2 linked regions of the Zea mays genome follow. The protein of the gene in region 2 binds, or shares a complex with, the protein of the main gene of each other region. Links are inferred from orthologs where the notes say so. Each region holds a gene or a part of one and is shown on either strand. Other genes may lie near its edges. The genes, in order: atpE; ATP synthase subunit gamma, chloroplastic precursor.

Region 1 (15,492 bases), on a different chromosome or scaffold from region 2:
TCAAAGTTGAACTTAATTCAAAAAGTAAAGCAATTCTATTTGCTCACAAGAAATGTGTCCCCGCCATACCTTCTTTCCCTCTGTTTGTCCACTACCGCGCCCGAACCTAAGCAAAGGAAGTCCAAAAGACAGACCCGAATAAAGAATAAATAGTAATCTTTGACAAAACAAATAAGAAGAAAAATGATTCTTACTTCGATACAAGAAGAATCGACACAAGAAAAAGGCAAAAAAGCCTTTTTCTTGTGCCCAATAGAGGATTAAGAAGACCCACAATTCCTCCTAAAAGGACTTGTTCCTTTTATTGTTCTCGTCTTTGCCTTGGATCCTCTTCTTTTGCATGAGATAGAAATAAGGAATTCCAGAAATCGAGGCTTTTTTCTCACTTGATGGTAAGAAATCCCAGGATCTAGAAATTCATTTCGTACAATTGAACCTTTTCAAACTGTTTCTTTTTGAGAACCAAAAAAACTTGTGCCAAAATAACAGATGCGAAGAAAAACAAAAGGCCTTGGACGCGCAATGGATCCTGAAGCACTATTTCTGCATCCCCCTGACCAAACCCTCCTACATTAGGATTGCTTGTTAATGGTTGATCAAGCTTGATCGATTCCCCCTCTGAAAAAAGAAGTTCTGGCCCGGGAGGTATAATATCAATCACTTGGCGCCCATCCGATGCATCCACTATGGATATTTCATATCCCCCCTTTTCTTTACGTAGTATTTTTTTTACTATACCTGTTGACGTAGCATTATAGACCGTATTGTTACTCTTGCTACCGTCAGGATAGATCTGTCCCCTTCCTCGGTTTCCCCCTACATATATGGGATATTTTAAGAAATGAACGTCTTTTTTTGTAGCGGGATCGGGGGAAAGAATGGGAAAGACAATTTCACTATATTTCTTACCGGGAACAGGGCCTATCACAAGAATATTTTTTTTATTGGGACGATAACTCTGAAAAGAGAGATTTCCTATCTTTTCTTTCAACTCAGGAGAAATACGGTCGGGCGGCGCTAATTCGAATCCCTCGGGCAAAATAAGAACAGCACCCACATTCAACCCTCCCTTTTTACCATTAGCAAGAACTTGTTTCAGCTGCATATCATAAGGAATTCGAAGAACTGCTTCAAATACAGTATCAGGAAGCACTGCTTGGGGAACTTCAATATCCACAGGCTTATTAGCTAAATGGCAATTGGCACATACAATTCGTCCAGTTGCTTCCCGCGGGTTTTCATAACCCTGCTGCGCAAAAATGGGATATGCGTTTGAAATAGATGTGCGAGTTATTACGTATATCATGATCGATACAGAAATCGATCGAATCATCTGTTCCTTTAACCAAGAAAAAGTTTTTCTATTTTCCATGTCCAATCGCGGATCCCGGAATTTCTACAATAAATTAGATAGGTAGCTAAGCTAATCTAGTTCCCTATACACGAGTCTGTTGTCATTCTACTGCAATAGTTGTACTAGAATGATGAATACCTTGAGCAGGTAGAAATAGAAAGAATTTGGTTAAAAAGGAAAAGGGCTTTCTTTCTATTTCTAAAGGAAGAAAAGAAATATGCTAATTTGATTAATATTAGGAAATGAAATGAGTGAGTTTATGCTTCACTAATTGAATGATAAATGACTACAAGTGAAGGAGATAGACGGTTTAAACAAAAAAAGACCCAAAATTTCAAACACGTGTCTAGAATCACAGGAAAACTACAAACAAAAATAGTGAAAATTAGCTCGTTAGGAGCCCATCCAAGATTGTTGTAGACCCAACGAATTAGTAGTTCCCAACCGCGGGTAGAGTGAAATCCAACAAAAAAATCAGTAACTAAAAGAATAAAAAAAGCTTTTATTGAATCATTTAAGTTATAGAAAAATTCCTGAACCCAAGAATTCAAAATGACAAGTTCTTCTTTACCCAGAAAAAAAGAACCACTTAGAATAGCCAAACAGATTATATTTGTTGAGAAATGCAAAATGATATGGAGATGATCCTCATTATCTATTTTGGCCAATTGTATTATTTCCTTGTGTATTCCTATAGGAAGTTTTTGTACATGTGTCTTCGGTTTCTCTTTTATCATTTCGTCCAAGAGAAAAAGTTCCTCTAATTCTATGAATCCTTCTAGAATCCTTTTCTCTTGAATATCAGTTAAGAAAGTTTCGGATTGCCTGGTATTCCACCAATTCTTAATCCAAAGTTCCAGACATTTGTTAAAAGAGAAAGAGACTCCCCAGGGCAAAAGTACGATAAATACAAGATATAAGAAAGAAGGCAATGCTTTCTTTTTTTTCATTTTTGATCTGTAAGCTGAATATATATGATATTTCTTTTCTTTGAAGCAAAAATTCTATAACAAGGTTTGAGACCTTGTGTTTGTATCTATTTCTCTTTTTGTATACTAGTGGAATTTCATTGTATTGGGTTCTTTCTTAGATCTAAATGGAGTGGAATAGAGAAATAAAAAAAGGCCTTTCGTATAAAAATGGAAGAATAGTATGCCATATATCTCACTTGGACAAAACAAATTCGAAGCAATTTTCTCTTATCCTCGTTTGTTCCTTCCTTTACTTTAGATAAATACTCGAAAATCCCCTTACAATTGCAAAAAATTGCAATTGGTACTCAAAATACTTCAATTGGTACACGCAAGAAATAGGCCAATTCGGCAGCTTTTTGTTCAATTTCTCGTGGAGTAAAAAACTTCTCATCAGTACGAGTCAAGGGAATGACCCCCTGGCCCCGGATTTCCATATAAAGGATACGACGAGGATAAAGACCCTCTTTAACCTGAATTCTAATTGATTGGATATCCCGCACAAGGAATTGAAGGAAGATGCGACGTTTTATTCCAGGGAATCCCCAACGAAAAATGCACACTATTCCCTCTTTTCTATCGAATCGGTCATAACCACTGCCTACATTCCATAAAATAGTGCACCACAAATAGGAGCTAATGAATAGGCCCGCGATTCCGTAGAAAGACATCACGACCCCCTGTGGAAAAAAAAGAATTTGTTGAGATGGAAGTACAGATATCATATTCTTACCAAGATAACTGGAAGCCCCAACCGCTAAGAATCCTAATGAACCTAGAAAAAGAATACAGGCCCAGAAAAAATTACCTCTTTTTCGAGAACCTTTTAGAAGTTCTATCCATATGTGTTCTGATCGCCAATTCATATTAGATATACTAAATCCAGTAGCGGTCAATTGAAATTGAGAGAATAAGCTAAATGATTTTTCACTTTACTTTTTTTGATTCTGAAATAGCCTTCAGTAGCTAGTACTCCTGTGAAATAATTGGTTAGATACATTGACTTTCTATTCAAAAAAAATTAGTGGATCCACTTAAAAAAAAAAACTCGCTATAGTCGGCTACGCATATGCATGCATTTATGCTCGTAGCTTATATCTGCATCCATAGACGTTTTTCATTTGTGTGTAGAAAGAGCTACATACCCTATCATATTATAGTACTTACACAAAAAAATATCTGTATTATGATCCTGGAAATACATTGAGAAAATTTGGCCCCGTCGTTTCTAGACAATCTTATTTTTCTGCACATAAAGAAATAAGGAAGTCATTGCAATTGCCGGAAATACTAAGCCTACTAAAGGTACGAAAATAGAGGGTAAGTTAAAATCTGTCATAGAATATGTGTCTCAATTCAAATTTACTATTTCTATCTATTCGAAATATATCTTAAGATTCTTATGATATAATTAAGTATATCTATTATAAGGAATATTGACTATTGTATTTTTTAGTTTACAAAATAAAGATTTTTTATAGATATAGAATAAAAAAGTATTCTATAAAATAAATGAATGGAATTGATAATAAGAAAATTGCAAAAAAGGGGAACTCAAAAGGGGAACTCATTAAAATAAAATATTTTATTTTTCTTTTCCCATTCTCATCGCCTTTCTATCCTTCTAATCGAACTTGAAATTGGATTCAAAAGAAAGCTATTGTGAAAATAAAAGAAATACCTCTTTCAGAATACCCTTTAATTTAAAAAGTAGAAGTGGAATAGAATACCCAGTTGAAGGGTAATGATCATACGTCTGTAATGCATTGTATGTCCCAGAATAGGTCCCATTCTTCTACCTTTCCGGGTAGTCGATGGCTATTCACAGCTACTACCTTAACACCAAAGAAGAGTTCGACCCAATGCTTTATTTCTGTCTTAGTGAATCCCGATTCGACATTAAAAGTATATTGATTCTTTCCCAATAAACGAAGACTCTTTTCTGTAAATACTGCGTATTTGATTCCATTATCGTACGATAATACTATATTTTGATTTATATTTGTTTATTGTATTATACCTTTCTATATTCTAGATATATAGAATAGAAGAATCTCGATTTGTCAAGTCTCATGATCGTATCAAGATCTATTTCAATTCGGCTCAGTCTTTTTTTTTTTTAGAAAAGATTGAGCCGAATTGAATTGCAATCAATTAGAAGAATAAAGAAGAATTACTGCATTTCTTAACTTATTTTTTCTCTTTCTATTTTGCTTTTTTTTTTATTTTATATGGTATCCATCGCTTTGAAACCATCAAATTTGATCTCCTTCCATATTTCACAAGCTGCGGCTAGTTCAGCACTCCATTTGCAAGCTGCTTTGATAATTTCATTACCTTCACGAGCAAGATCGCGCCCTTCGTTACGAGCTTGTACACAGGCTTCTAAAGCCACACGATTAGCTGCTGCACCAGGTGCATTTCCCCAAGGATGTCCTAAAGTTCCTCCACCAAATTGTAATACGGAATCATCTCCAAAGATTTCGGTCAGAGCTGGCATATGCCAAACATGAATACCCCCAGAAGCCACCGGTATAACACCTGGCATGGATACCCAGTCCTGAGTGAAAAAGATACCGCGAGAACGATCTTTTTCAATAAAATCATCGCGCAATAAATCAACAAAACCTAAAGTTATTTCGCGTTCCCCTTCTAACTTACCTACTACTGTACCGGAGTGGATATGATCTCCCCCCGACATACGCAATGCTTTAGCTAATACACGGAAATGCATACCATGATTTTTCTGTCTATCAATAACTGCATGCATTGCTCGGTGAATGTGAAGAAGTAGGCCGTTGTCGCGGCAATAATGAGACAAAGTAGTATTTGCGGTGAATCCTCCTGTTAAGTAGTCATGCATTACAATAGGAACCCCTAATTCCCTTGCAAATACAGCTCTCTTAATCATTTCTTCGCATGTACCTGCAGTCGCATTCAAGTAATGCCCCTTGATTTCACCAGTTTCGGCTTGTGCTTTATAAATTGCTTCGGCACAAAAGACGAAACGGTCTCTCCAGCGCATAAATGGTTGTGAGTTTACGTTTTCATCATCTTTGGTAAAATCAAGTCCACCGCGTAGACACTCATAACACGCTCTACCGTAATTTTTTGCGGATAATCCCAATTTTGGTTTAATAGTACATCCCAATAAAGGACGACCGTACTTGTTCAACTTATCCCTTTCAACTTGGATACCGTGAGGCGGACCTTGGAAAGTTTTTGAATAAGCAGGGGGAATTCGTAGATCCTCCAAACGTAGAGCGCGTAAGGCTTTGAAACCAAATACGTTACCCACAATGGAAGTAAACATGTTAGTAACAGAACCCTCTTCAAATAGGTCTAATGGATAAGCTACATAACAGATATATTGATCTGGGTCCCCAGGAACGGGCTCGATGTGATAGCATCGTCCTTTGTAACGATCAAGACTGGTAAGTCCATCAGTCCAAACAGTTGTCCATGTACCAGTAGAAGATTCCGCAGCTACTGCAGCTCCTGCTTCTTCAGGCGGAACCCCGAGCTGAGGAGTTACTCGGAATGCTGCCAAGATATCAGTATCCTTGGTTTCGTACTCCGGGGTGTAGTAAGTCAATTTATAATCCTTAACACCAGCTTTAAATCCAACACTTGCTTTAGTTTCTGTTTGTGGTGACATAAGTCCCTCCCTACAACTCATGAATTAAGAATTCACACAAGCACAGGGACAACTCGATAGGATTAGGCGAAAGAAACCTTTGCAAAAATCTAAAAAAAATGATATTTAATTAATATCAACTCATTAAATAAAAAAAGGAGTATGCTTAAGTTAAGTAATATGTTTCATTCATTTATGTATACACCCTGTGTACGTTCTATCCTATAGGAATTTTACTATAGGAATTCGATAGGAATTGAGTTGTTGTTATGGTAAGTTAACACGGTTCGTTATTAAACCGTGATTTGATTCACCAAATCCATCATTATTGTATACTCTTTGATAGATATAGCGCAACCCAAACCCTAATCTTTATTTTACAATTTTTAAAGTTCTTCCCCTTTGATATTTTGAATCTAAATACCTAAATACTAAGAAAATTCTCTGTTGACAGCAATCTATGCTTCACAGTAGTATATATTTTGTATATCGAAGTCCTAGATAGGAAAGTAGAGTAGGCACAGATCCTTCACAAAAGGCGAAATTTATATGAAAAAAATGGATTGAACTTTCCAACGGATTCATTCCATAAGTAAACGATTGAATGGGATTCGCTTGGGCAACGAAATCAAGTGCGAGTCCCCTTTTCTTTTTTATTGAATTAACTAATTCATTTCCTTTTGACTTTTGGATTTTTGGATATTTTTTTTGATTTGGCATTATTCAACAAGAAAAAAAATTTCGACAAATTCTTTTTTTTTTGAAAATTATGTGATAATTATGAGAACCAATCCTACTACTTCGCGTCCCGGGATTTCCACAATTGAAGAAAAAAGCGTAGGGCGTATTGATCAAATTATTGGACCCGTGCTGGATATCACTTTTCCCCCGGGCAAGTTGCCTTATATTTATAATGCTTTGATAGTCAAGAGTCGAGACACTGCCGATAAGCAAATTAATGTGACTTGTGAGGTACAACAATTATTAGGAAATAATCGAGTTAGAGCTGTGGCTATGAGTGCTACAGAGGGGTTGATGAGAGGAATGGAAGTGATTGACACGGGAACTCCTCTCAGTGTTCCAGTCGGTGGAGCTACTCTCGGACGAATTTTTAACGTTCTTGGGGAGCCTATTGACAATTTGGGTCCTGTGGATACTAGTGCAACATTTCCTATTCATAGATCTGCGCCTGCCTTTATCGAGTTAGATACGAAATTATCTATCTTTGAAACAGGTATTAAGGTGGTCGATCTTTTAGCTCCCTATCGACGTGGAGGAAAAATCGGACTGTTTGGGGGGGCAGGAGTAGGTAAAACAGTACTCATCATGGAATTAATCAATAACATTGCTAAAGCTCATGGAGGCGTATCCGTATTTGGCGGAGTAGGGGAACGGACTCGTGAAGGAAATGATCTTTATATGGAAATGAAGGAATCCGGAGTAATTAATGAAAAAAATATTGAGGAATCAAAGGTAGCTCTAGTCTATGGCCAAATGAATGAACCGCCGGGAGCTCGTATGAGAGTTGGTTTAACTGCCCTAACTATGGCAGAATATTTCCGAGATGTTAATAAGCAAGACGTGCTTTTATTCATCGATAATATCTTTCGTTTTGTTCAAGCAGGATCGGAAGTATCCGCCTTATTAGGCAGAATGCCCTCCGCAGTGGGTTATCAACCTACCCTTAGTACAGAAATGGGTTCTTTGCAAGAAAGAATTACTTCTACCAAAAAGGGATCTATAACTTCGATCCAAGCAGTTTATGTACCTGCAGACGATTTGACCGACCCTGCTCCTGCCACAACATTTGCACATTTGGACGCTACTACCGTACTTTCCAGAGGATTAGCTTCCAAGGGTATTTATCCCGCAGTGGATCCTTTAGATTCAACCTCAACTATGTTACAGCCTCGGATTGTTGGCAACGAACATTATGAAACTGCGCAAAGAGTTAAGGAAACTTTACAACGTTACAAAGAACTTCAGGACATTATCGCAATTCTTGGATTGGATGAATTATCGGAGGAGGATCGTTTAACTGTAGCAAGAGCACGAAAAATCGAGCGGTTCTTATCACAACCGTTCTTTGTGGCAGAAGTTTTTACCGGTTCTCCAGGAAAGTATGTTGGTCTTGCAGAAACAATTAGGGGATTTCAACTAATCCTTTCCGGAGAATTAGACGGCCTACCCGAACAGGCTTTTTATTTAGTGGGGAACATCGATGAAGCTAGCACGAAAGCTATAAACTTAGAAGAGGAGAGCAAATTGAAGAAATGAAATTAAATCTTTATGTACTGACTCCTAAACGAATTATTTGGGATTGTGAAGTGAAAGAAATCATTTTATCTACTAATAGTGGCCAAATTGGTGTATTACCAAACCACGCCCCCATTAACACAGCTGTAGATATGGGTCCTTTGAGAATACGCCTCCTGAACGACCAATGGTTAACGGCGGTTCTGTGGAGTGGTTTTGCAAGAATAGTTAATAATGAGATCATCATTTTAGGAAATGATGCAGAACTGGGTAGTGACATTGATCCAGAAGAAGCTCAACAGGCACTTGAAATAGCCGAAGCTAACTTGAGTAAAGCTGAAGGTACGAAAGAATTGGTTGAAGCGAAGCTAGCTCTCAGACGAGCTAGGATACGAGTCGAGGCTGTCAATTGGATTCCCCCATCCAATTGATGAAGACAATCCAAAGATTTCGTTGATACAAAGAAAAAGGAAAGAAGGGTAGAAAAAGTTATTAGATAGCGAAGCGAAGTAAGTCCAATGCTATCTAGTAATTTTTCTACCTACCTACCTACTATTGGATTTGAACCAATGACTCCCGCCGTATGAAAGCAATACTCTAACCACTGAGTTAAGTAGGCAATTTATCACCACAAAAGAAGCCCCATTACTTCGATCGATTATAGATTGAATCCTTTTTATAAGCAATACCGCTCCGTTATTGGTATGTTATGTTATATAGTAAACGGATCAAAGGGATATCCTCTGGCATTAGAGAATATTCATCTTGACAAGAAATTATCTATATGTTAAGATATCTCTGACAAGGGCTATAGCTCAGTTCGGTAGAGCAACTCGTTTACACGTGCGCCAATGCTTTTCAAGGGAACTTATTATGCAATGAACATAATTGACCTTGTTGCAAAATCAATGTCTTACTTCATGGATTCGAAAGAATAGAAGAACAGTAGCCTGACAATGACAAACAGCTGGTTCAGTCCGATTCAGGTGCCAATTAAGGTGCTTACTCAAATAGAACTCCTATTGATTTGCTAGTTGATAAGGTAAATATCCAGCCCACTCAATGCTAGGCGTAATGAGGATAAGGGCCTCCAAAAAACTTCTTTTCGTTCTATGAACTTTAAGGTGTATGAAGTCTCATAGTAAACTCTTGCAGCGGAACGATAGAGACTCCATTTCACTTAGGTTGATTTAATTTAGGCCGGAGGCGACCTAAGTCAAGGTAATCCTCCTTTGAAACACTTTGGTATTGTTCCTAGATAGATCATAAGACAAATAATCAATCAGAGCACAGGGAGCCATCTTATTATCTTTCCCTAAAGAAAAACTATGGCGAATTAACTGATCTTTACATTAGTTGATGAAAGAGCCCAATGCAGAAAAATGCATGTTGGGTCTTTGAAACAGTTCGAATCATTTCGATAATAATCTGTTTGATCTGTTTTACCGAGAAGGTCTACGGTTCGAATCCGTATAGCCCTAATATATACGTCTTTTTTCCATTTTAGGATGGATATCTTATGTTTCCTTTAGTATAGTTTTCTTTTCCTTATTTAGTACTTGTTTATAGACTCGATGGTCGATTGCGCCATAGAATAGAGATAAAAGCATTACCATAGGCTCATTCATCGAAACGCAAATCAGAGAGACAGGAAAAGAAAAAAGAATTTTGATCAAATCAATAGAAGGAAGGATCCCTTACCTGATTTGAATTTCATCCTCCTTTAAATAGGATATGCTCTAAGTCTTCCCATACTTTCCTATAATGACTGCAACGATTTTCTCCATTTTGCGAATTCCTATTTTATTTGAAGTATATTACTATCATATACATTATCTAAATCGATCCACTTTAAATAAAATAGAAAAAATCGAAAGAAAAAAAAAAAGAAAGAGTAAATAATAAAACAGGATATTCTGTTTCATAATTCTGAAATAGAGTTCTTTTTTTTAGTATTACTCCTCATTAGGATGTATATATTAATCATCCTATTTTAATATATATTAATCATCCTATTTTAATTAGGTTCTAATCCAATTAGTAGTAAGTATTTTCTTTTTTATTTAATAGTCTCTGACTATCATTAAATAAAGGGTAGAGCAATTCTTTTTTCTAGAGATTCTAGAGAAAGTGAGACAAAGTGAAGCGAAAGAGTTTTCTTTGTATAAGAATTAGGTCTATATCATATCTAAATAGAAGGGAAATCAAAAAGAAGGGAAGTGGGGATTACATTGGATGAATCCTTAAGGAAGACATATCACAAAAGAAATAAAGGCTAAAGTAAGCGCTCCTTGCCTTTGGTTTGAGCAAAACAGATTCTTGTTTCACCGAGGAAAAGAGAGAAGTTCTGGATAAATTGACAATGTCAACTTGAATTGACTAATTCAGTTCCGCCTATTCCACATTAATGGGAGTACATTTATGTTTCTGCTTCACGAATATGATATTTTTTGGACATTTCTAATAATAGCAAGCCTTATTCCTATTTTGGTATTTTGGATTTCAGGACTTTTAGCCCCGGTTAGTGAAGGACCAGAGAAGCTTTCTAGTTATGAATCGGGTATAGAACCCATGGGGGGGGCTTGGTTACAATTCCGAATACGCTATTACATGTTTGCGCTAGTTTTTGTTGTTTTTGATGTGGAAACAGTCTTTCTCTACCCTTGGGCAATGAGTTTCGACGTATTGGGTGTATCCGTTTTTATCGAAGCTTTCATTTTTGTGCTTATCCTAGTTGTTGGTTTAGTTTATGCATGGCGAAAAGGAGCCTTGGAATGGTCTTAACTGAATATTCAGAAAAAAAAAAAAAAGAAGGAAAAGATTCCATTGGGACAATTATGAGTTTGATTGAGTTTCCGTTACTCGACCAAACAAGTTCCAATTCCGTTATTTCAACTACACCAAACGATCTTTCAAATTGGTCAAGACTCTCAAGTTTATGGCCCCTTCTATATGGTACCAGTTGTTGTTTCATTGAATTTGCTTCATTAATAGGCTCACGATTCGACTTTGATCGTTATGGATTGGTACCCAGATCAAGTCCTAGACAAGCGGACCTAATTTTAACAGCTGGTACGGTAACAATGAAAATGGCTCCATCTTTAGTGCGATTATATGAGCAAATGCCTGAACCGAAATACGTCATTGCTATGGGAGCCTGTACTATTACAGGGGGCATGTTCAGTACAGATTCCTATAGTACTGTTCGAGGAGTTGATAAGTTAATTCCTGTGGACGTCTACCTGCCGGGTTGCCCGCCTAAACCAGAGGCTGTTATAGATGCCCTAACAAAACTTCGTAAGAAGATAGCGCGAGAAATAATTGAGGATCGAACTCTATGTCAAAGTCAAAAGAAAAATAGATCTTTTACTACCCGTCACAAACTTTATGTTCGGCGCAGTACTCACACTGGAACTTACGAACAAGAATTGCTCTATCAATCACCATCTACTTTAGATATATCTTCTGAAACTTTTTTCAAATCCAAAAGTTCAGTATCTTCCTACAAATTAGTGAATTAGGAGGGGTTCTTTTGTGCAGAAAAAGAAAGAAAAGAGCAGTACAATCTTTCAAACTTGCATTTGAAATGTGAAATATTTATACAAAGGGGGAGAGATCAAGACAATGCAGCAGGGTTGGTTATCTAATTGGCTAGTTAAACATGACGTGGTTCATAGGTCTTTGGGCTTCGATCATCGAGGAGTAGAGACTTTACAAATAAAAGCGGGGGATTGGGATTCCATTGCTGTCATTTTATATGTATATGGTTACAATTATTTACGTTCCCAATGTGCTTATGACGTAGCACCCGGTGGATCTTTAGCTAGCGTGTATCATCTTACGAGAATACAGTATGGTATAGATAACCCAGAAGAGGTATGCATAAAAGTCTTTGCCCAAAAGGATAATCCTAGAATCCCGTCCGTTTTCTGGGTTTGGAGAAGTGCCGATTTTCAAGAACGCGAATCTTATGATATGGTGGGAATTTCTTATGATAATCATCCACGTCTTAAACGTATCTTAATGCCTGAAAGTTGGATAGGCTGGCCCTTACGTAAGGACTATATAACCCCCAATTTCTATGAAATACAAGATGCTCATTGAGTGATAATAAATTCATGTTCACTTATACAACACAATTCCAGATTTTATTCAAGTCAAGGAATATTTTGACGTTCTGTTCCTAGACGAAACGAAATACTTAGAATATAATATTCTAATTAATTCCTATTATACAAAAGGTCCAGATAGACTGAACAAAAAGGGCTTCATTTCTATTTTCCAATTTGGAAAATCACATATTTGTTTCCTTCGTATGAACAGAAAAATACAATGACTCAAAGAAGTTCCTACCACGAACTTTGTACCGCGCATATTACTTAGAACAACTGGGAAAGTAGGATAAGCAAGAATAAAAAAAAATATATTCTTCGGAATAGCGGTATACAAAATTAATAAGAAATGCAAAATGAAGAAAAGGGCACCTAATCTCACCTCTTTCTATACCATAAAGAACCAGAGATTTAAACCCTTTTTTTTAAAAGAAAAAGAAGTGTGTAGAGATTTATCTACTTACTCTAGAGATTTATCTACTTACTCTAGACTAAAGACTAAGTAGATTTTTAATAAATATTTACCCCAATCCATCTCAAAATATTTGTATCAATATCTATTCAGTAGATCCTTTTTTTCTGTGCCAGGAACCAGATTTGAACTGGTGACACGAGGATTTTCAGTCCTCTGCTCTACCAACTGAGCTATCCTGACCCTTTCTTGTGCATCATCTTAGTAAAGTATTTGCATCTATGTCAATTAAAGGGACTAAAAAATCAATAAAGTATTCCATTCAAAATTAGGAAATGGGAGGGGTTAGTCCTATGCATTGTGGATGGCTTACTTAATAATACTTAAAAAAAACGAATTAATAATCGAGATTCCTTGCCGATACTCTACTCTAATAAATAAAAAAGAAATAAAAAAGAAATCATCTATTTAATGAATAGCATAAGATTCATTGAGTTCTTGTCGCACTCCTTTGTGAAAGAGTAGAATGAGAAAGCTAGTGAATCTTAAACCCATTGATAAAAGAAAAAAAGGATAACAACTATGGTTAGGGAATAAAAGAGGGTTTGGGGATAGAGGGACTTGAACCCTCACGACTTATAAAGTCGACGGATTTTCCTTTTACTAGAAATTTCATTGTTGTCAGTATTGACATGTAGAATGGGACTCTCTCTTTATCCTCGTCCGATTAATCCACTTTTTAAAATTAAAAGATCTCGAAAACAATGAATTGAAGGATTTGATTACTCAATATTTGATTGGAATAGATTCACAATAATTCTAAAAAAAAATTATGAATTTTCTATTTCATAATCATTCCTAATTTCATTCTAAAAATAAAATAAAGAACCTATATTATAATATGGGTTCTGTGATTAATCGTTATTACTTCGATTCGTTAGAACAGCTTCCATTGAGTCTCTGCACCTATCCTTTTCCTTTGGGTTCTAGTTTGAGAACCACTTGTTTTTCAAAAAAGGGATTTGGCTCAGGATTGCCCATTTTTCATTCCAGGGTTTCTCTGAATTTGGAAGTTACCACTTAGCAGGTTTCCATACCAAGGCTCAATACAATCAAGTCCGTAGCGTCTACCGATTTCGCCATATCCCCATTTTACTTTTCTTTGAAACCAGGATTCCTTGTATAATTTAATCCATCTCTTAGTTTTTTTTGAATCATTGAATTCATTATTCGACGTAGTCTAGCAACTCATCTCTATTTGAGACACCCCGCTCGCTTATTGCAATTCAGAATTGCATTGATTTTATCGTTGATATATTTGCAATTCAATCGGAATGAATATATCCAAAAGTTTTTCTCTCTCCCGCCTCCCTCCTTCCTTTTTTAGAGTATTCCAAATCATACTATAACGCTTGATATTCATTCTTTTTTTCTAAACTGAATTAGAAATTTCATTTGCTATGATTCTATCTTCTCCTTAGTGAACTATTTATCCTTAAATTATTAACAAATAAAAAAACAAAATATCTCAAAAATGTATATAATGATCAAATGAAAATGCCAATCTCTTGGCATTTTCTCTTTATTATATTATTCATATATATTCTTCTTTTTCTTCTTTTCTATGTATTAGATTATTCCTCCGAGCCATATCAAATTGAAAATATCTGAAATCAAATTCAATATAGAATTTGGAATAGATTCTATTAAAAAAATCCATTTGCGAATTAGAGAAATAAAAAGAAAGTTCAATAAATTCTATAATCCTATTTAAGAATATCATTTAGTTAAGCATATCAAGCTAACTTTATCTTTATGAAATTCTAGTATTTTTTTTTTTCTATCTAAGTGGAACTTCCAATTTAGAACTAGTTAATAACTAAGATTAATAATTAAGATCTGACATTTTACAGATTCCCTATATATATATTTTTATTTGTTACACTATTTCTGTTATGTAAGCCCACTTAGCTCAGAGGTTAGAGCATCGCATTTGTAATGCGAGGGTCATCGGTTCAAATCCGATAGTCGGCTTTTTTTTCTATCGATGTTCTATGAACAAGAATTTCTCTTTTTCTCCGAATAAAATGGGGAATCAGGGTCTATTATGTCGTTTTACCTTACAATTTTGCTAGATACAAAGCATAAAAATAAATAATATATATACAAAAAATCCAGATGTTGATGAAATTCCATTTTTTGTGTTACTCCATTTTTTGTGTTACTTTAGTAGATTTTACTCTGTTTATCCTTTAGTTTAATTCTGTTTGAATTTCGCTGTATTCTGTAATGTAAATAGAACGAAATTTATTGTGTAAAATGAAATTTCAATAAAATAAAAAAGGAGTCTTCATGTCCCGTTATCGAGGGCCTCGTTTAAAAAAAATACGCCGTCTGGGAGCTTTACCAGGACTCACTAGAAAAACGCCTAAATCCGGAAGTAATCAGAAAAAGAAATTCCATTCTGGGAAAAAAGAGCAATATCGTATTCGTCTTCAAGAAAAACAGAAATTGCGTTTTCATTATGGTCTGACAGAACGACAATTACTTAGATATGTACATATCGCTGGAAAAGCAAAAAGATCCACAGGTCAGGTTTTACTACAATTACTTGAAATGCGTTTGGATAATATCCTTTTTCGATTGGGTATGGCTTCAACCATTCCTGGGGCCCGACAATTAGTTAACCATAGACATATTTTAGTTAATGGTCGTATAGTTGATATACCAAGCTTTCGTTGCAAACCCCG
Region 2 (16,353 bases):
GGGTTAAGTAAGGTTGAGCCTAAGTACAAACCCTTAAGGAAAAACAATGGAAAAAATGGACTTGGGTACAACGCTTATGAGGTGAACCCTAGCATTGAGCATAAGGGGTGGTGATCCCCTAAGTTCATATAAGGTACCACCTTATATGATGCCTTAAGGAGGATCCACTCCTACAAGGGTGAAACAACTCAAAGGAAGGTGAACTTGTGCAACACAAAGGATAAGTTGAAGAATGTTACTTCTACAAATGGAGAGAAGGCTCGAACTCCTATCTCTCACTCTTATCTTTAAGGCAAACTAGTTGTAAAATTTGTTGGTGACTACACTAAAAGAAAAGTCATGAAAACAAGTGTGTGCCTACACTAGTTGTAAAATATGTTGAAGTTCTTGGTTTTGAACCTTAAAGTTTGATATGCTTGACTCAAATGTTTCTTTGACATTTGCAAGACCAACTATAAAGACTTTAGCACAAGAGAGTTCATTTTTTTATCCTCTGTAGTTACTTTGGCTATATACACTTCTTTAGTTAAAGCATTTAACATTTCATTTTTACTAGTTATCAACACTTGAAGCTTTAGCTTTAGGTTTCTCTCCTTTTCATTTTTTTCTTTAGCATCAAAAGTTTCTTTCTTTTTCCCCAGTTTCTCTATAAGCTTAGTGATGACATTATACTTATTTAGTCTAAACTCACTAATCATTTTACTTTTCATGCTATGTTCATCATTATTATCAATTTAATTTATATTAAACAAATATACATTGTCTAACTTTGTCATGAGACAAGTGTGAGTGAAGGAATCATCGGAGAGGTTGGTCAGGAGTCGAGACGTCGAGGTGGATTGAACATCAATGTTTGCCACCCCTTCTTCGTCCGAGCTAGAACTATCCTCATATGAATTTAATTACTCACCAAGCTTGACCATACTTCTTGAAATATCCTTTGCCCTGTTTTCCTTTCTTGAATTTGTCCTTCTTGTTCTTTCTTGCTTGAGCAGTCCACTATAAAATGACCGGTTTGGCCACACTCATACGATGCCCTCTTCTTTACTTTTCTTCTAAACTTATCATTCTTTCGAACGAACTTCTTAAAGGTATTGATGAACATTGTCGTGTCTTCATCGCTTAAACTTTCATCATTACTCGAGTTTTCGAACACTTTCTTGGACTTGATATCTTTACCCTTCTTAGTGCTATCTTGATCATTTGCAACCAAGGCATGAGAGTGAGAGCACCTAGAGGGGGAGGGTGTGAATAGGTGATCCTGTAAAAATCAACACTAAATAGCACAAACTTGGATTATGAAGTGTTAGTGAAATCAAAACCATGGTGCTATGTCTAGAGAGAAGGAGACGACTTCTTCACTTAATTGCTCTTTACAAAGTGAGTATTAAACTTAGAGCAATTATCAAGTGAGTGGAAGATCGCACAAGAATAACAACAGGTGACACAACGATTTTTATCCCGTGGTTCGGCCAAGTAGAACACTTGCCTACTTCCACGTTGTGGCGTCCCAATGGACGAGGGTTACACTCAACCCCTTTCAAGCGATACAATGATCTACTTGAATACCACGATTTTCTTCCTTATAGTTGATGTTTCCCTTGTGAGGAATCTCCACAAGTTGGAGCCTCTCACCCTTACAAAATTAATCACAATGAAAACCACAGGAGTAAGGGAGGGAAGGAATCACACGCAAGAGCTAGAGTCGCAGCAATGGCACGCACACAAAACACAGCGCAACAAGTCTACAACTCAACAAGTGCTCAAATCTTAGTCACAGTGATTCGGATGCGTGTTTGTGGAGTCTAGGCGTCTTAGGATGTTCAATGGAGGCTTGGTGTTGTGCTCCATGCGCCTACCCCCCTTTTATAGTCCCAAGGCAGCTAGTAGCCGTTGGATCTCCATTTGGTAGGCAATTCTTGCCTTCTGTCGGTTGGCGCACCGGACAGTCGGTGCATCACCGGACATGAACAGTGCCTGATTTCTTTCCTTCTCTGGCGAAGCCGACCGTTGAGCCCTCGGTCCCCTTGGCACACCGGACATTGTCCGGTGCACACTGGTCAGTCCGGTGCGGCCTAGTGACCGTTGGCTCTGGCCACGTGTCGCCCGCTGATCGCGTTGCCGACCATTGGCGCGGGCGCTATTGGCTCATCGGACAGTTCGGTGCACCACTGGACAGTCCGATGAATTTTAGCCGCAGCACCCTCTGCAATTTCCGAGAGTAGCGAGTTCATCGTTGAGCCAGCCTGGGCACCGGACACTGTACGGTGCACACCGGACAGTCCGGTGCACTGAAGGCTGGTGCAAGTCTGGCTGGACTTAGCCAAACTTCTCCAATCTAATCTCATTTGATTTGACAAGGTTCCTAGCACTTAGAGGAATATGTTAGTACCAAAAACAATTCACTAAGGCTAGAGTCATACCTTGATTCTTGATTTGCATCTCTTCAACACTTAGTACACATCACCTTAAACACAATATGTATTGGGCATCTAATCACCAAAACATTTATAGAAATTGTCCAAGGGCACATTTCCCTTTTAAAGAGTCCCTTGTCTTGGTTGGAGCTTCCTCAGATTGTGCTATCTTGATCTTAGTGCTATTTTGATTATGCGGCTTAAGCATTGCGATGCATTTTTTTGCATAATCTCTGGTGTCATCTCTTCTCCTTGAGAAGCCTTGTTCAAACTTATGTTGATAATCTCTCAAAGACTTGGATGTGCACCGATTAAATGCTACTTCATCTTGTCGGTCCACTCGTCATACTCAATAAGAGTTGTAAGCTTTACAAGGGGTGCCGAAGAGAAGTTGAGTACAAAATTACGAGAATAATCAAATTGAAATCGGTTGAATTCGGTATCTTTGGTTTTGGTGGATGATTATTCGGTGTTGAGACTTACCTTGCTCATCACCTTGGACACCAAAAGCTCAATCAAGTCGTCGTTGTACTCCATCTTGCCTTTTCCTTTGTCTTCCTCGGTCTTTTTCTCGATTCTTCTTCGGCCTTTTTCTTCGCATCTTACTCTTTCATGTTGAGGAACATTCTTTCGACAATCTTCATGGCTCAAGTCATAAGGCTCAAGATCCTAGCTCAAGTAGTAGGACATGGTCATAAAAAGTGGAGAAGTATTGAAGTCAAGACCTGGAAGGGCCCAAAGAGCTAAGTACACTTTGACTTGTTGAATAGAAAAGAAATGGAGAAGAAAAGGACTTGAAGGGTGATGTCTGGGTGCATCGGACTACAGGGTCGGTCCGGTGTGCGTCGGACCGTCTGCGGGAAACTATATGGTCTCGAGAATTTTGGCTAAAATTCACCGGACCGTGAATAGTACAGGGTCTTGTGGTGCACCGGACCTCAACCAACGGCTAGTTCGTGGGCGCGCTGTTTTGGTTCAACGGCTAGCTGACGTGGCTCGGTCCGGTGGTGCACCGAACCGGTTCAGTGACACGCGCGCACGCCACACGCACCCACGCGCGCACACATAAATGAGTAATAAAATATTAAAAGTATATTGCATGTGTGGTCTAGTTTTGATCACAAAAAACTTATAAACACAAACATGAGATCGGTTCGACGATTAAATCTTTTAATTAAAAGATATAACGAAAAACTATTAAAATAGCTCTCTCGGTTTACGTGATGCTGCATGCAGTGCATGCATATATCCTGCTTGGGGGCTGGCGCCAGTTTTTTTATGGGCCATGCTCGGATGCATCCTGCATGCGGGCTGCGCGCATCATCTTGTATGTGCTCCGGTGCTTCCGCCGACCTGGTGCCAAATAACTATACAATCCTATACAATCTCTATCAGGGACCAAGAAAGGCAGATGTCAGTGATGACCTGAATATTATATTTTCTTGTCAACTTTAACTGCTATCCTGAATATAGTGCTATCCTGTTGCTTAACTGCAGAAATTGATACTTTAACCCTCATAAAATTTGGATAATCCTAAATATTATCTTTTCTTGTCAACATTAAATCACATATTGATATGGTGGTACCCTTGGCCTTCATCATATGTCTCAAGTCTTTGATCATCTGTAATATCTAATCAGATACTTCCAGTGATAAAATCAATTTTTTCTTCGAGGCTAGTCATCGCTCAAATATGGTGTGCATGCAACTGTATTCAAAAGAAATTGAATCCCCTCCTGGAGCTTCCAGTGCAACATCTATTCTCTCACGAAATTTGCAAACTCATGGGTTCGACTCCAAAAAGTCTAGTGAAGTGAAGGTACTTCTTTTCTGTATTCAGTTTTTGATTGTAGAATGTCTTCTGGTTAGCTTGCCAGCCAGCGATTTTGTATTTTCTGTTCCTGAATTTCTAATCTTCTGCATCCACAGGATCTTGTTTGGAAATTTTGTGCATGGAGGGACTTAATGGTCAGTAAAAAACTGTTTTCCTTAGAATAGCTGCATCCCCTTCTGCAAAGTAGATCTTTTTAATTGCTTATTTGTTGTTACCTCCAATCAGCAAAGCTTGATGTTCATACAAGTGAAAGCAGCAGCAAACTAGTTGTGTGCCTTATCACCTTTTGAATCCTGGGTGACCACCAAATGTCACTCAGGCAAGTTGCATAACGTTGGGCACATTGAAGTAAATGCATTTCCAGGATATCATGCATATTTGCAGTTATGTAGTTGTGGTGGGTCTATTCTTCGTTTCTGATATCTCATAATAACTTGGATTTTGGATCATTCCAGGCTCGGATGCATGATGAAAGCTTACGATATGTTCTGCCAGACCAAGCTATAGCTGCCCTTGCCGTTAGTCTTCCAAAGGGCCCAACAGAGGTGTTTGCTGTCATAGCAGAAACTGACCTAAGCATTTCAAGTATGTACCCTTCCTTGTCATCACCGTCACCTCTTGTTGTGGCTCATGTCAAAGAACTCTGTTATCTGCTGGATGACATCACTACCAGCATGGACAGCATCTTTAAAAGTTTACTAGAGAAGTATAAAGATCCAAGTGGATTATGTCGACTATCAGTTTATAATTATAACCTTATAACACACCTAAGTTTGAAGCAAACAAGTATGTTTTCCGTTGCTCCAAGTGGAAAGAAGTTGACAGCACTGCCTAATAAAAAGGTTTCACGGGATTTATTCATTAAAAAGTTTTCCTGCAAGTCCCCGGTATATCACAATTGCAGGATTTATGCTAGTGATGGAAGACTACTTTGCTACTGTGACCGCAAAAAACTGGAATGGTTTGTCTCCTAAATATATGCTCATTAGCTATTTACATGCATGTAGCATGAATGAAGAATTATTTTGGCAAACTGATGAGCTCTTCTATCCCAGGTACATTCAGCGTAATTTGGCGAAATTGATTGAAAATAGTCCTCCAGCAATCATGCTTCTCTTTGAACCTAAAGGTCGTCCAGAGGATGAAGATAACGAGTTCTATATTCAGAGCAAGAAAAATATTTGTGTGGGCTGTGGAGAAAAGAGCCATTATATTAGATACAGAATAATACCGTCATGCTACAGGATGCATTTTCCAGAACATTTAAAGAGCCATCGTTCACATGATATTGTACTTCTTTGTGTAGACTGTCATGAAATAGCTCATTCAGCAGCTGAGAAATACAAGAGGCGAATAGCAGAAGAATTTGGAATACCCCTTTTTGTGCAAAAGATAATGAACTCGGGTGATATAAGTTTGATTACCAACACATCAGTATCTGAAGATAAATTGAATGGAACAGGTGTCTCCCCATTGCAGCTGAGGACTGCTGCCATGGCTCTTCTACGTCATGGATCCACTATGCCATTGAAGAGATGTGAAGAGCTAATGCAGGTGATGACATCCTTTTTGTATTTCTGGCTCAATATGGATTACTTAACAGTTTCTGGAGCTGACATAGTGACATCGACGTATTAACATGTTTGATCCTATCCGTCCATATGCTTCCCTTGTTAAATATGTACTTGCTCTTAGCTATAGGTTGCTGTTATGAACCAGTTCAATTCTTTGCAGATTGTGAAGTCATACTATGGTGGTAGAGATGTGACTCCTGAAGATCTCGAGATGGCATTACTTGTTGGTATGAGCCCTCATGAGCGAAGGCGTCTTGAAAAGAAAAAGGGATATTCGTTTAGAGCTCAGGCTCAAACTATTATTAGAAAGAGCAGCAGCAATACCATCTCAGAAGACAGTGGACATGGATCAGAAAATTGTCATGCCTTATCTGCGCGATTTCCTGAGGTTGGAACTGGTAGTAATGGTCAGCAAGAGTTTGATGAGACAGGGAATCAAAACCAGCTAGAGAATTTAACCCTGAGCCAGGGAAGCTCAAGTTTGCCAGTCAGCATGGAGGACACCACTTCTGATCATGACACTGTGACACTCGAGACCGATACCGAGCAGCAAGCAAGAGGTGCCTGTACTCCTGGAAACAGTCATGACGACAAGGAACAATCCATATGTGACAATTCTAGTCAGGTCATTTCCAAGAATGCTGAGAAGATATCCCTGTTGGGTCATGGGCATCATGGTAAACAAGTTGTGGAACTTTTGTTTTCTAATGGTGGAGAGGAATTTGTTAACCAGTTTTGCCAAAGGTGGAGGCAGATCTTTGTTGAAGCTGTTCACCCCCGTTATTTACCTTCTGGCTGGAATATTAACCACAGGTTGTTTGCCTTTCATATATATCTTCTCTTGTGCGCTATGCATGCTGATTAGTTGCATAATTGCCTGAACTTCCTGGTGCTTAGAATTGGCCAAGCTGTAGCGAATATCGAAGTTATAGCCATGTACCAGTGACCTTAAAAGATCTTTCTATTTGTCGTAATGTCTTTTTGTCCAGATTTCCTTTCATCACCAGATATTTACTGTTATCTGTATGACCTCTTGTGTGGTTCAGTGGACGGCGGGATTTTGGTGACTTCAGTGTCTACAAGCCACCAAGGAAAGATCCTCAATCTGCAACTGCAAGGGATTAGGCTTACGCGGGTGTCATGCTGTCGTTGGTACCCTGAGGTTCAACTTACTTTCCAGAATTGGTTCCATTCCCTTAAACTTGATCTTGTTGTACTTGTTCCATTCCCTTAAACCTGATATTGTTGTACTTGTATGTATCTCAATCTGTGTGTTTGTTCGAGTACCTTGAAATACCAATTTCATCTCCTATGTATTTCTTTGAGATGAACTTTGCATCAGTTTTGTTGAGCCGTTTTTTTATACGTGAGGATTTAGAGTACTAACAATTTAAGTCCAAGAAAAATCAACAGTGAAGTTCAACTCAGCAGATTAAATCTTCAAAGTGCCGTTTTTAACTGGGAGTTGAGCTCAAATTGGTTTCTTCGGGACAGGCTTGAAACTTGTTGCGTTTGGAACACAGAAACTATTCAGGATTTCACTGGAAACGATTTGATTCCTGTAGAGATGGGCCAAAGCTCCTCCAAATTGTGATCGTAGGGAGTATCTGCTATTTTACCGTGGGATATCCTGGGCAGGATCCCAGTTTCCCCAGAGCATTATTTTGTTTTCCATTCCTGACAAGCAAAAATGGACTGCGGAGAGCGTCATATTGCAAAGCGGTGCAGCCAGCTCGGCAGATCCACATGATCCTCCCCATCTCGCCATCACTGCCCCTCCACCACTCAGCTCGGCTTGAATACCCCACCGTGCACACCTCTCCACCCAAACCCAATCCATCCAAACCCATTTCCCTCGCTCCCATCCCGTCCCGCCCCTTGTCTCTTCCGCTTCCCCCCGACCCCGCGCGCCGCGGACCAGCAGCCATGTCGTGCTCCCACCTCTCCACCGCCTGGTCCTCCTCGGCGCTCGCCAGCAGCGCCTCCACCACCCGACGGCGCTCCCCCCCGCGCTCGGGTCTCCTGGTGCGGTGTTCCCTCCGTGAGCTCCGCACCCGCATCGACTCCGTCAGGAACACGCAGAAGATCACGGAGGCCATGAAGCTGGTGGCCGCCGCCAAGGTCCGGCGCGCGCAGGAGGCCGTCGTCTCCTCTCGCCCTTTCTCGGAGGCGCTGGTGGAGGTGCTCTACAACATGAACCAGGAGATCCAGACGGAGGACATCGACCTGCCCCTCACCCGCACCCGCCCCGTCAAGAAGGTGGCCCTCGTGGTCCTGACCGGCGAGCGCGGCCTCTGCGGGAGCTTCAACAACAACGTGCTCAAGAAGGCGGAAACCCGCATCGATGAGCTCAAGCAGCTGGGCCTCCAGTACACCGTCGTCAGCGTGGGGAAGAAGGGCAACGCCTACTTCCAGCGCCGCCCCTACATCCCGTTGGAGCGCGATCTAGAGGTGAGCAGCGTGCCCACCGTCAAGGACTCGCAGGCCATCTGCGACCTCGTCTACTCGCTCTTCGTCTCCGAGGAGGTGGACAAGGTGGAGCTGCTCTACTCCAAGTTCGTGTCGCTGGTGCGCTCCGACCCCATCATCCAGACGCTGCTCCCCATGTCGCCCAAGGGCGAGATCTGCGACGTCAACGGCGTCTGCGTGGACGCCACCGAGGACGAGCTCTTCCGCCTCACCACCAAGGAGGGGAAGCTCACCGTGGAGCGCGAGAAGGTGAAGATCGAGACGCAGCCCTTCTCCCCCGTGGTGCAGTTCGAGCAGGACCCCGTGCAGATCCTGGACGCGCTGCTCCCGCTCTACCTCAACAGCCAGATCCTCCGTGCCCTGCAGGAGTCGCTCGCCAGCGAGCTCGCCGCCCGGATGAGCGCCATGAGCAGCGCCACCGACAACGCCATCGAGCTCCGCAAGAACCTCTCCATCGCCTACAACCGACAGCGCCAGGCCAAGATCACCGGGGAGATCCTCGAGATCGTCGCCGGTGCCGACGCCCTCGCTGGCTGAGCCTGAGTCCCCTTGGTGGTGCGGTGCTCCTGCTATATATAATTCTTTTTCCTCATTTTCTCCACTCTGCCTGTAATTCCTGATAATAGCACAAACGCAACGGAGTTCTGTGTTCCTTGCGACACACAAGAATTTCAATCCAGAGATGCCAAAATGTATAATCTTGCCGCAACTGAGACGTCGAAGCTCAGTGTATTTTTATGCCCAAGTCTTCCAAATGTTTGGCACGAATCAGCTACGGCTCGGCATCCTGCGGCATGCACCAAACACCCTACCTAGTACATGAGTAAAGGTGCAATAGCAACTAAGACGAGGCTGTTTTGAACACATAAATCTCAAAGCAATTTGACAGGATTGCTTTTTCATGCAAAATTTATCAAACTTCTGTGTTCTTTTTTTTTATAAAAAAACATTGTTAAGAGAAGAAACATATAATGCTGCAGTTGAATCACGTCACTTCCTCAGAATCATCAGGCCGGTAGGGGATGAAGGTAAACTATATATGACACCATGATAACAACGCCGGCTCATATCTTGGTCTCATCAGTTATCACAATCCTGTCCTGTGGATGGATGGAGCATATTGGAATCAAGCTTGCTATGGCGACGTAATACAGTGACAAGCGTGGTAACACTGTAACTCTTCACTATTATAAAGTAGATGTGTTTAATGTAACGGTTGATCAACAACTAATTGAGTTAGATGATCGTTTTAGCTTTGCGATAGAGCTTTTATCGCTCTCTGTTTCTTTGAATCCAAGAACAGACACTTTTGATATATCAAAGTTACACCACTGATTTTTCAATCAAGAAAGTTCCAATTAAAACGCCAACTTCCACATTATCAGCTTGGTGTATACATCACCTAGAGCTAAATACATTACCATCACTCGCTGATGAAAGGACTCATTAAATTGGGTAAAAGTTCTACGGATTAATAGATTATTAAGATTAATGGTAGTCCCTCTTGCCTAACCTGCAACCACTAAGATAGTGTTTTCAACTACAAAAATTGTCAAAACACGTTGTTGCAGGGGCGAATCCTCCGGCCGGGTGGTAGATTGCATCCGCCCTGGTACTCTGATGAGGAGTAGGTTTAGTTGATTGTCTGGCCTTCTAGATGGACACAAGAACACAAGGGTTTAGAGCGTTTCAGGCCACCGGAGCATAGTATCTCACATTCACTATGAGTTATATTGCTTTAGAGTTAGGGAGTCGAAGGTCCGAGTGTTAGATTGACCTCTCCCTGCTACAGAGCAAGTGCTCTCCCTTTTATAGTCCAAGGAAGGCACATACAAGGGAGTTTTGGCTCTGACCGATGGGCCTAAGAGAGTACAATATGGAACGAGAAACAATTGGGTAGAGCTGACAACGCTAGATCTTCATGAGTCTGTATCCCTTCTTGGACGTTGCACGATCTTCTGTCGTCCTTATCCTGTCACCTTGCCCCGTCTAATCGGAACTCAGGTCTTGATGTAGGTTGCGGTGTAGCCTGATACGCTCTCGTGCGTAGGGTGTAACGATCATGTCATCTCGTCTTCTCCATCCGTCTCTTCATGCCCCTGCCTGGATAAGGGATAGGCCCGAGAATAAGCGACGACATGGTATTCCCAAGCATTCCCTGATCATGGGCCCGGATCGCACTCGAGGGGGTCCGGGCTTCGGCCACCCACGCCTGGATACGTGGCGATACCGGACCTCACGTGGCCTGAGGTTCGGGTGTTATTTCCCATTCTTGGAACCATTCTGAAGCCTTGGTGCTGTAACCGGAGAGTGCCTTCTCCTCCGTGGCTTTATGTTCTATCCGGATCCCTTTGTCCGGAGATTCGTCGGGTCACAAGGAGGTCCTGGTCCTATATGCAGGATCCCAGACTTGAAGTTGTCGGTTCCTCCCTTTATGGGGCTTGATGTAGACGGTCGTCCAGCCCAAGAGACGAACCTGGTCTAGCCACGACTCCATATGGTGGGCCTCAGCCCCATGTTAGGTCGGCTGCCCGTGAGATCTTCAACGGTGGCCACTAGGGTCTCACTTTGACATAGCAGGAATGAGTGCCCAAAGCATATTCAGGGCACCGACACACGCTTATAGAATAGAATAGAATAGAATAGAATATGATTTTCCACAAATTTATATGATCATATGTATTGAGAAGGAATTGACCATGAAGATTAGCTCTCTTATATATAATAGAATCATTTAATTTGGGCGGTCTTCGTGGAAGCAAGTTCAAGTTAACAGAGATGTAATCATGTAAGTCTTGTTTCTCCATATATATCATATATGAAAAATTATTGTGATGTCTATTGGAGTTAATTAATATACAACTATATTGTACAAGTTTCTTTGTTAGCTTATTATCTATGCTATATGCAAATTACTATATGTGTGTGTATATCAAATCGCAATGGCTAACCCGTCCAACGAGCAACGAAGATGTAAACAGCAGCAGCACTAGCTTATTGTATGTTCATGTGTCCTAGTAACAGAGCTTATTGATCTGAAAACCTAACCATCTAGATGCACTCAGAAGCAAGTCTAGTTTCTGCACGGAAAGAGGGAAATGACCTTGCGGTGTTTCGTACGGAGATGATAGCATGCATGTATGATGCATCTAGGTGCCTCAAGTTTCATTTTCTTACGTTAAATTTCATGCGATTTGCTTGCATGGGTGAGAGATTTTATGACGGGCACAACTCGGATCGTCAAGAGCACAGGCCAACCAATTGAGATCTTATCTGAACGTATCGACTTTAATGTCTATGTGTTAGTACCAAACCACTCTAATATAGAAAGTTTTGTGCTAATTCCTCGTATTTTTAACTGCTAGCTCTTTTCGACCCCGATCAAATATTTAGGCCTAGTTTAGGAGTTTAAAAACCGGAAGAGATTAGAGAGACTAAAATCACTTCTTTATTCAAAATCCCCTTCGATTTTGTGGCTACCAAACTAACCTTGGAGTTGCCGCTATCAACTAGAATGATTCCAAATTCCCACCTTCGACCTATAGTTGATAAAGTGGCCAAAAAACTACCAGCTTGGCAAGATCCTTGTTAGAAAAAAGTGGTCACCTTATTCTAATTCAATCCACACTGCTGGAACTTCCAAATTTTGCGTTGATGGCTGAGCAAGTTCCTACTTGGGTTAAGAAAGGAATTAATACCATTGCTCGTATATTCTTTTGGACAGGCTCAGATAACTCAACAAATGGGAAGGCGGTAGTGGCTTGGCATTATATTTGTCAGCCAAAATCTTCTAGTGAACTTGGGGTCAAAAACTTCTCTATAGCTGGCATGGCACTTCAAACACGTTGGCTATGGTTGCAACACACTGATCAGACCAGAGTATGGGCAAGCCTACCTATCGAAGTGCCAAACGTGGTCAAGACATTCTTTGAAGCTTCCATTTTGTGATTGTGGGTGATGGAACCTCGTGTTAGGGAGGTATGGCTATGGCGTGGGGGAGGGGAGACGAACGCCGGACGGAGTGGCGGCGTATATTTTGCTCTTCTCAAAAAGTTACCAGCCTATTACATTGTTCAAGTACTTATACTCTCACGAAACCACAGCTCGTCCAGCCCACTATTACATAACACTAGTGTCTAACGCGCTTCCTACGCGCGCTAGTTTGTACGATTCTACCAAAAATATCAGGGGCGGACTCACGTTGGGCTGACTCAATTTTCTGATTCTAATGGAGTTTTTATCTTATTCACTATAGCTATAAAGGTCCATTAGTAAATAGGTATTTATTTAGACCCCACTCAGGTTTTGGGCCCCACTCAAACTTTTTGTTGGGTTCGCCCCTGAAAAATATGTATATTAAAGGAGGGATACTATATATAAGGCTATTATAACTATAATGTTGATGGTTTTTTTTTGATAGAAACAAATAGAGATACGATGATATATAAAACAAGCATGTTGGAAAGTAACCATATAATCCCAATATGCTTGTTTTTTGCTTGCCCTCAATTCCTTCCTATGATATGGCTAATAAAATGAAATCGTCGATTCAGGTGTCTTCACAACCTTTGGCGTTCAGATTAGAAGAATATCATGGTCAACCGGTACAAAAGGTTGCACAAATACTGAATATATGTGTTGAGAAAATGGTGGCATATATGGCTTAATATGACATTTCTTTTTAAAAGGTTTGCCAGTTACATTAGCACTTTTTTTAACTGCAACCGATTGAAAGCTAATGTTTACCCTTACCTCTCTGTCACATTATCATTTTATTGTTCTACTCTTCATCCCGATTAGTCTAAAAAAAGAAGACCTCGCTCGAAGACAGGTACGTGTTACAATCTTACTTCTAGATTTATATTTTTTACATAATAGTTTTTTTTTAAAAATTACAACCATTTCCTTTGGGTTTATATGGTACATATTTGACTAACCTTTTATGTGTTTCATTTATAGTAGTTAGTTAACATTTGTTACGTTCCCTTCTCCACTACGGAAAATACAAATTCAATCAGCTCTTTCCTCTTGACATATAAACATTCCTATTACTCTGATGTGTGTATCCATACATACATATGCGCACACACAAAAATACATATGTGCGTGTGTGTATGCATCAATATATGCACATATATAAAGCATGGCATATTTGAAATACCGCATTAGCATGTGGAGGATGAAGAGGATCAACAGCGTATAGTGCGGGCGTGGCTAAGCATGTATGCAATTGTGCATGCGTCATACAACATGACCGTGTGCAACAGTGCAACACAACAGGGCGACCTGGACAACACATTTTGCTGAGGCGTATCATCAAATAGCTAGCACGCACGGATGGAGTCTTTAGCAAAGGCGACGCTATGTTCTTCAAAATGTCACATTGGCCGATGGAAGATGTGGGAAGAAACATCAGAACATAGAATGAGGAATGGCGGAATATGTTGTTGGCTTTCTCTATTCGTGGGCTTGCCATGGCTAGGACCCTGCGGCGGGTACACCAGGAGGCACGCACAGCAGGCGGTGCTGCCAGTGCGTAGAGGCAGCTTGGGCACGGAGAGCCTCGTGGCCACCTCGGGAGCGAATAGCAGCACGTCCCGATGGCGGCCACAGGGAACGGAGTATGAAGGCACGAACGACGGTGGGGGTAGAGATGAGGTCAGACGCGAGGAAGATGACGAGCGAACTGGTTCCTTACGGAGTGAGAGGATGCGCAATATGGCTGAATGCACCGTCACTGAAGAAGCAATAGAGGCAGCTAGGATGCGGCGGCCCGAGGGGGGAGGTGGAGCTGGGATGTGGTGGCCCGACGCGGATTCGAACGGGAGGTGGGAGGAGGATAAAAATGCAAGGCGTGGATGAAGAAGTACCTGCATCGCCTTCTTCGCCTCGGCTCCTCCGCGCGGATGCGCCTCTGCTCCGCATCTGCTCTTTCGCCCAGCTAGAAGGTGGTATTTTCTCCCTTTGTTTTTTATCAGCCCTTTGTTTTGTTTTTTAATCGCGTTCTGGATGTTTCCAGCACGGACCCGAAGGTAGGCGTAACGTCTCGCTAGGATCTGCAAGGGAAAGGTTGATGCACAGTGTTGATTCGCGATCTGACGGCATGAATTAATTAAGCTAACGTGGCCGAACGGTGGACGAGCTTTGCGTCCACGTTTGTAATATAGAAATATATTCATTTGGCCCATTCTGACCCAACAACGCGCCTATTCGGCTGGCATCTTAGAACAATTGGCGCCTTTTTCCTTACCTATGCTTATGTCTTCTTCTTCTTCTTCAGTGATGCCTAGGGATGGTAACAGGAATTCCCTATCAGGCTTTGGCTTCTCATTCCCGTCCCCGCAACAAAAAAAAGTTCTCCGTAGGGATTCCCATTAGGAGGGCATTTCTTCCCTATCCTCGTTCCCCGCGGGGATAAATCCCCGTCGGGAATAAATCCCCGTCGGGGATCACCATCCCCGTTTAAATTATAATCATGGCATATACTTTCTTTGTTATTAATACAAAATATTGTCGCTTATACACATTGTCAGACGTTAGAAATTATTATGTGTAAATCGAAATAAACATATTTATACAACGAGTGATTTCTTAACAATGTAATTATTTATTTTTATCATTATATATTATATGAAAATATCATCATACATAAGTTTAACGGGTCCCCGCGGGGAACGGAGATTTCCCATCCCTGTCCTCGTTTATCATTGGGGGAGGTTTTTTCCGTTTACATCTCTGTGGGGGAACCTTCTTTATTTCCATCTCCTAATGAATAAATTATCCACAAGGAATCAGGGACCGGGGTCCATTGTCATCTCTACTCACACCTTCGAAAACGCACGGCGAAGGTACCAGCAACTTCTGCGACAAATCACAGGCTTCGCCGGATCTCTCACCTTTCCTTGGGCTTTGTTCAGTCAAATTGGATTGAGGTCAGAAAGTACAAATAAACTTATTATTCTAGTCGGAACGGTTCCGTAAACGAACATGCCCTCGCCGGCTCGCCGGATCTCCGGGTCTCCGCCTCCATTGCCGGCATCAAGTGGCTATAAGCCCTAGGCCCTAGCCTAGCCACCGCGCCGGCATCGATGCAATGCAAGTCAGCAAGTGACATTACGAATCGATACAATGCAACGTGAGATGGGCCACATAACTAAACAAGATGGCCTATACGTACAAAACACAAGGCCCAACCCAAACACACCAAAAGACCAACAATAACGCTTCGTTCTTCCTCCTGGTCCTGGAGCAGCGTTTCAGAGCTTGCTCCCGTCAGACTCTTGAGCGGCGGCCGGAGCCGGCTACTCCGGCGGAAATCGCCTCCCGAGTTGCCTGATCGGCTCCCTGAACGAGAGTGGTCAGAATCATCTTTTCCCACTCCTGCCGTCTATTTTCCCGACTACTCTACGTGCGCTTTCTCTCTCTGCGCAACTAGGTGACCGCGACCGCGGCCACCGCCCTACGTCACGTACGTGCTTGCTAGAGTCTAGCCTCGTCGGTTCCTTCGCATGGTCTCGTTCAGGCGGACCCTTCGCCGGCGACCAACACCCACCAGGTATGCGCATCCTCTCTTCCCTCCGTTGCTGCGCGAAACCGAGTACCTGAACCCTAACTTATTCTATTTGCGTATTTTTGTTCGGAACGGATCTAATTACAAGTTTATGTATGTAGTGTTCCTAAGAAATTCGATTTTTTTAATAAAGTTATTGGTGTCGTCCGCTTCTGCTCGAGGATTTAGCAAATGCCTTCTCTTGATGATACGATGAAACTAGAGCTTAGTTGTAAACCTTCTTTTTGGAGATAAAAGTAAGAGTTTTAGAGTTCAGGCATCGTGTCATGTTGCAGCACAAGGCCACACACTAGCATTGTCTTGCAGTCTTGCTGTCTTGCTATTATTGATGTAATCGACATCCTATGTAGAATAGTGTTTTTTTTTTTTGCAGCTTACACGGTATACATGAATGTTGATTTGCAGCAATTTACTGGAAGTGTGGAACCACTTCTGATGCTGTCTTTGTAAATATTGATGGAGCTAGCTGAGTAGAAATGGACTGCAGT

What was found.
Region 1: the proteins of ATP synthase subunit gamma, chloroplastic precursor (region 2) and atpE are in contact, whole or in part, in a cryo-EM structure (PDB 6FKF), measured with the Spinacia oleracea proteins. The link is inferred for Zea mays from reciprocal best matches to the Arabidopsis thaliana genes ATPC1 and atpE. Residues at the interface, in NP_001413255.1 of Spinacia oleracea: Asn81, Gly82, Pro84, Phe85, Thr88, Leu89, Glu91, Val92, Arg178, Pro186, Thr187, Ala188, Lys189, Gln192, Asp196, Asp197, Phe199, Ser200, Leu201, Val203, Ser204, Glu205, Glu206, Ser279, Ile281, Leu282, Glu283, Phe284, Glu285, Gln286; in NP_054942.1 of Spinacia oleracea: Leu8, Thr9, Pro10, Asn11, Thr26, Asn27, Ser28, Ile31, Pro39, Thr40, Ala41, Thr42, Ala43, Gly64, Gly65, Phe66, Arg68, Ile69, Thr75, Leu77, Val78, Asn79, Asp80, Glu82, Lys109, Arg110, Ile113, Glu114, Leu117, Arg121.

The regions. Positions count from the first base shown.
Region 1 is NC_001666.2:47,365-62,856, reverse strand, and holds atpE (ATP synthase CF1 epsilon subunit), read left to right. Parts: upstream 1-8,235; coding exon 8,236-8,649; downstream 8,650-15,492. Other genes in the region: petA (cytochrome f), read right to left, coding at 410-1,372; cemA (envelope membrane protein), read right to left, coding at 1,612-2,304; photosystem I assembly protein Ycf4, read right to left, coding at 2,634-3,191; psaI (photosystem I subunit VIII), read right to left, coding at 3,554-3,664; rbcL (ribulose-1,5-bisphosphate carboxylase/oxygenase large subunit), read right to left, coding at 4,553-5,983; atpB (ATP synthase CF1 beta subunit), read left to right, coding at 6,743-8,239; ndhC (NADH dehydrogenase subunit 3), read left to right, coding at 10,640-11,002; ndhK (NADH dehydrogenase subunit K), read left to right, coding at 11,056-11,739; ndhJ (NADH dehydrogenase subunit J), read left to right, coding at 11,843-12,322; rps4 (ribosomal protein S4), read left to right, coding at 15,095-15,492. UniProt on the Arabidopsis thaliana protein: Produces ATP from ADP in the presence of a proton gradient across the membrane.
Region 2 is NC_050102.1:161,829,200-161,845,552, reverse strand, and holds ATP synthase subunit gamma, chloroplastic precursor, read left to right. Parts: upstream 1-7,709; 5' UTR 7,710-7,752; coding exon 7,753-8,832; 3' UTR 8,833-9,032; downstream 9,033-16,353. Other genes in the region: Polynucleotidyl transferase ribonuclease H fold protein with HRDC domain, read left to right, coding at 4,059-4,237, 4,348-4,386, 4,708-5,213, 5,308-5,806, 5,987-6,639, 6,873-6,951; protein FAR1-RELATED SEQUENCE 5, read left to right, coding at 16,342-16,353. UniProt on the Arabidopsis thaliana protein: Produces ATP from ADP in the presence of a proton gradient across the membrane. The gamma chain is believed to be important in regulating ATPase activity and the flow of protons through the CF(0) complex.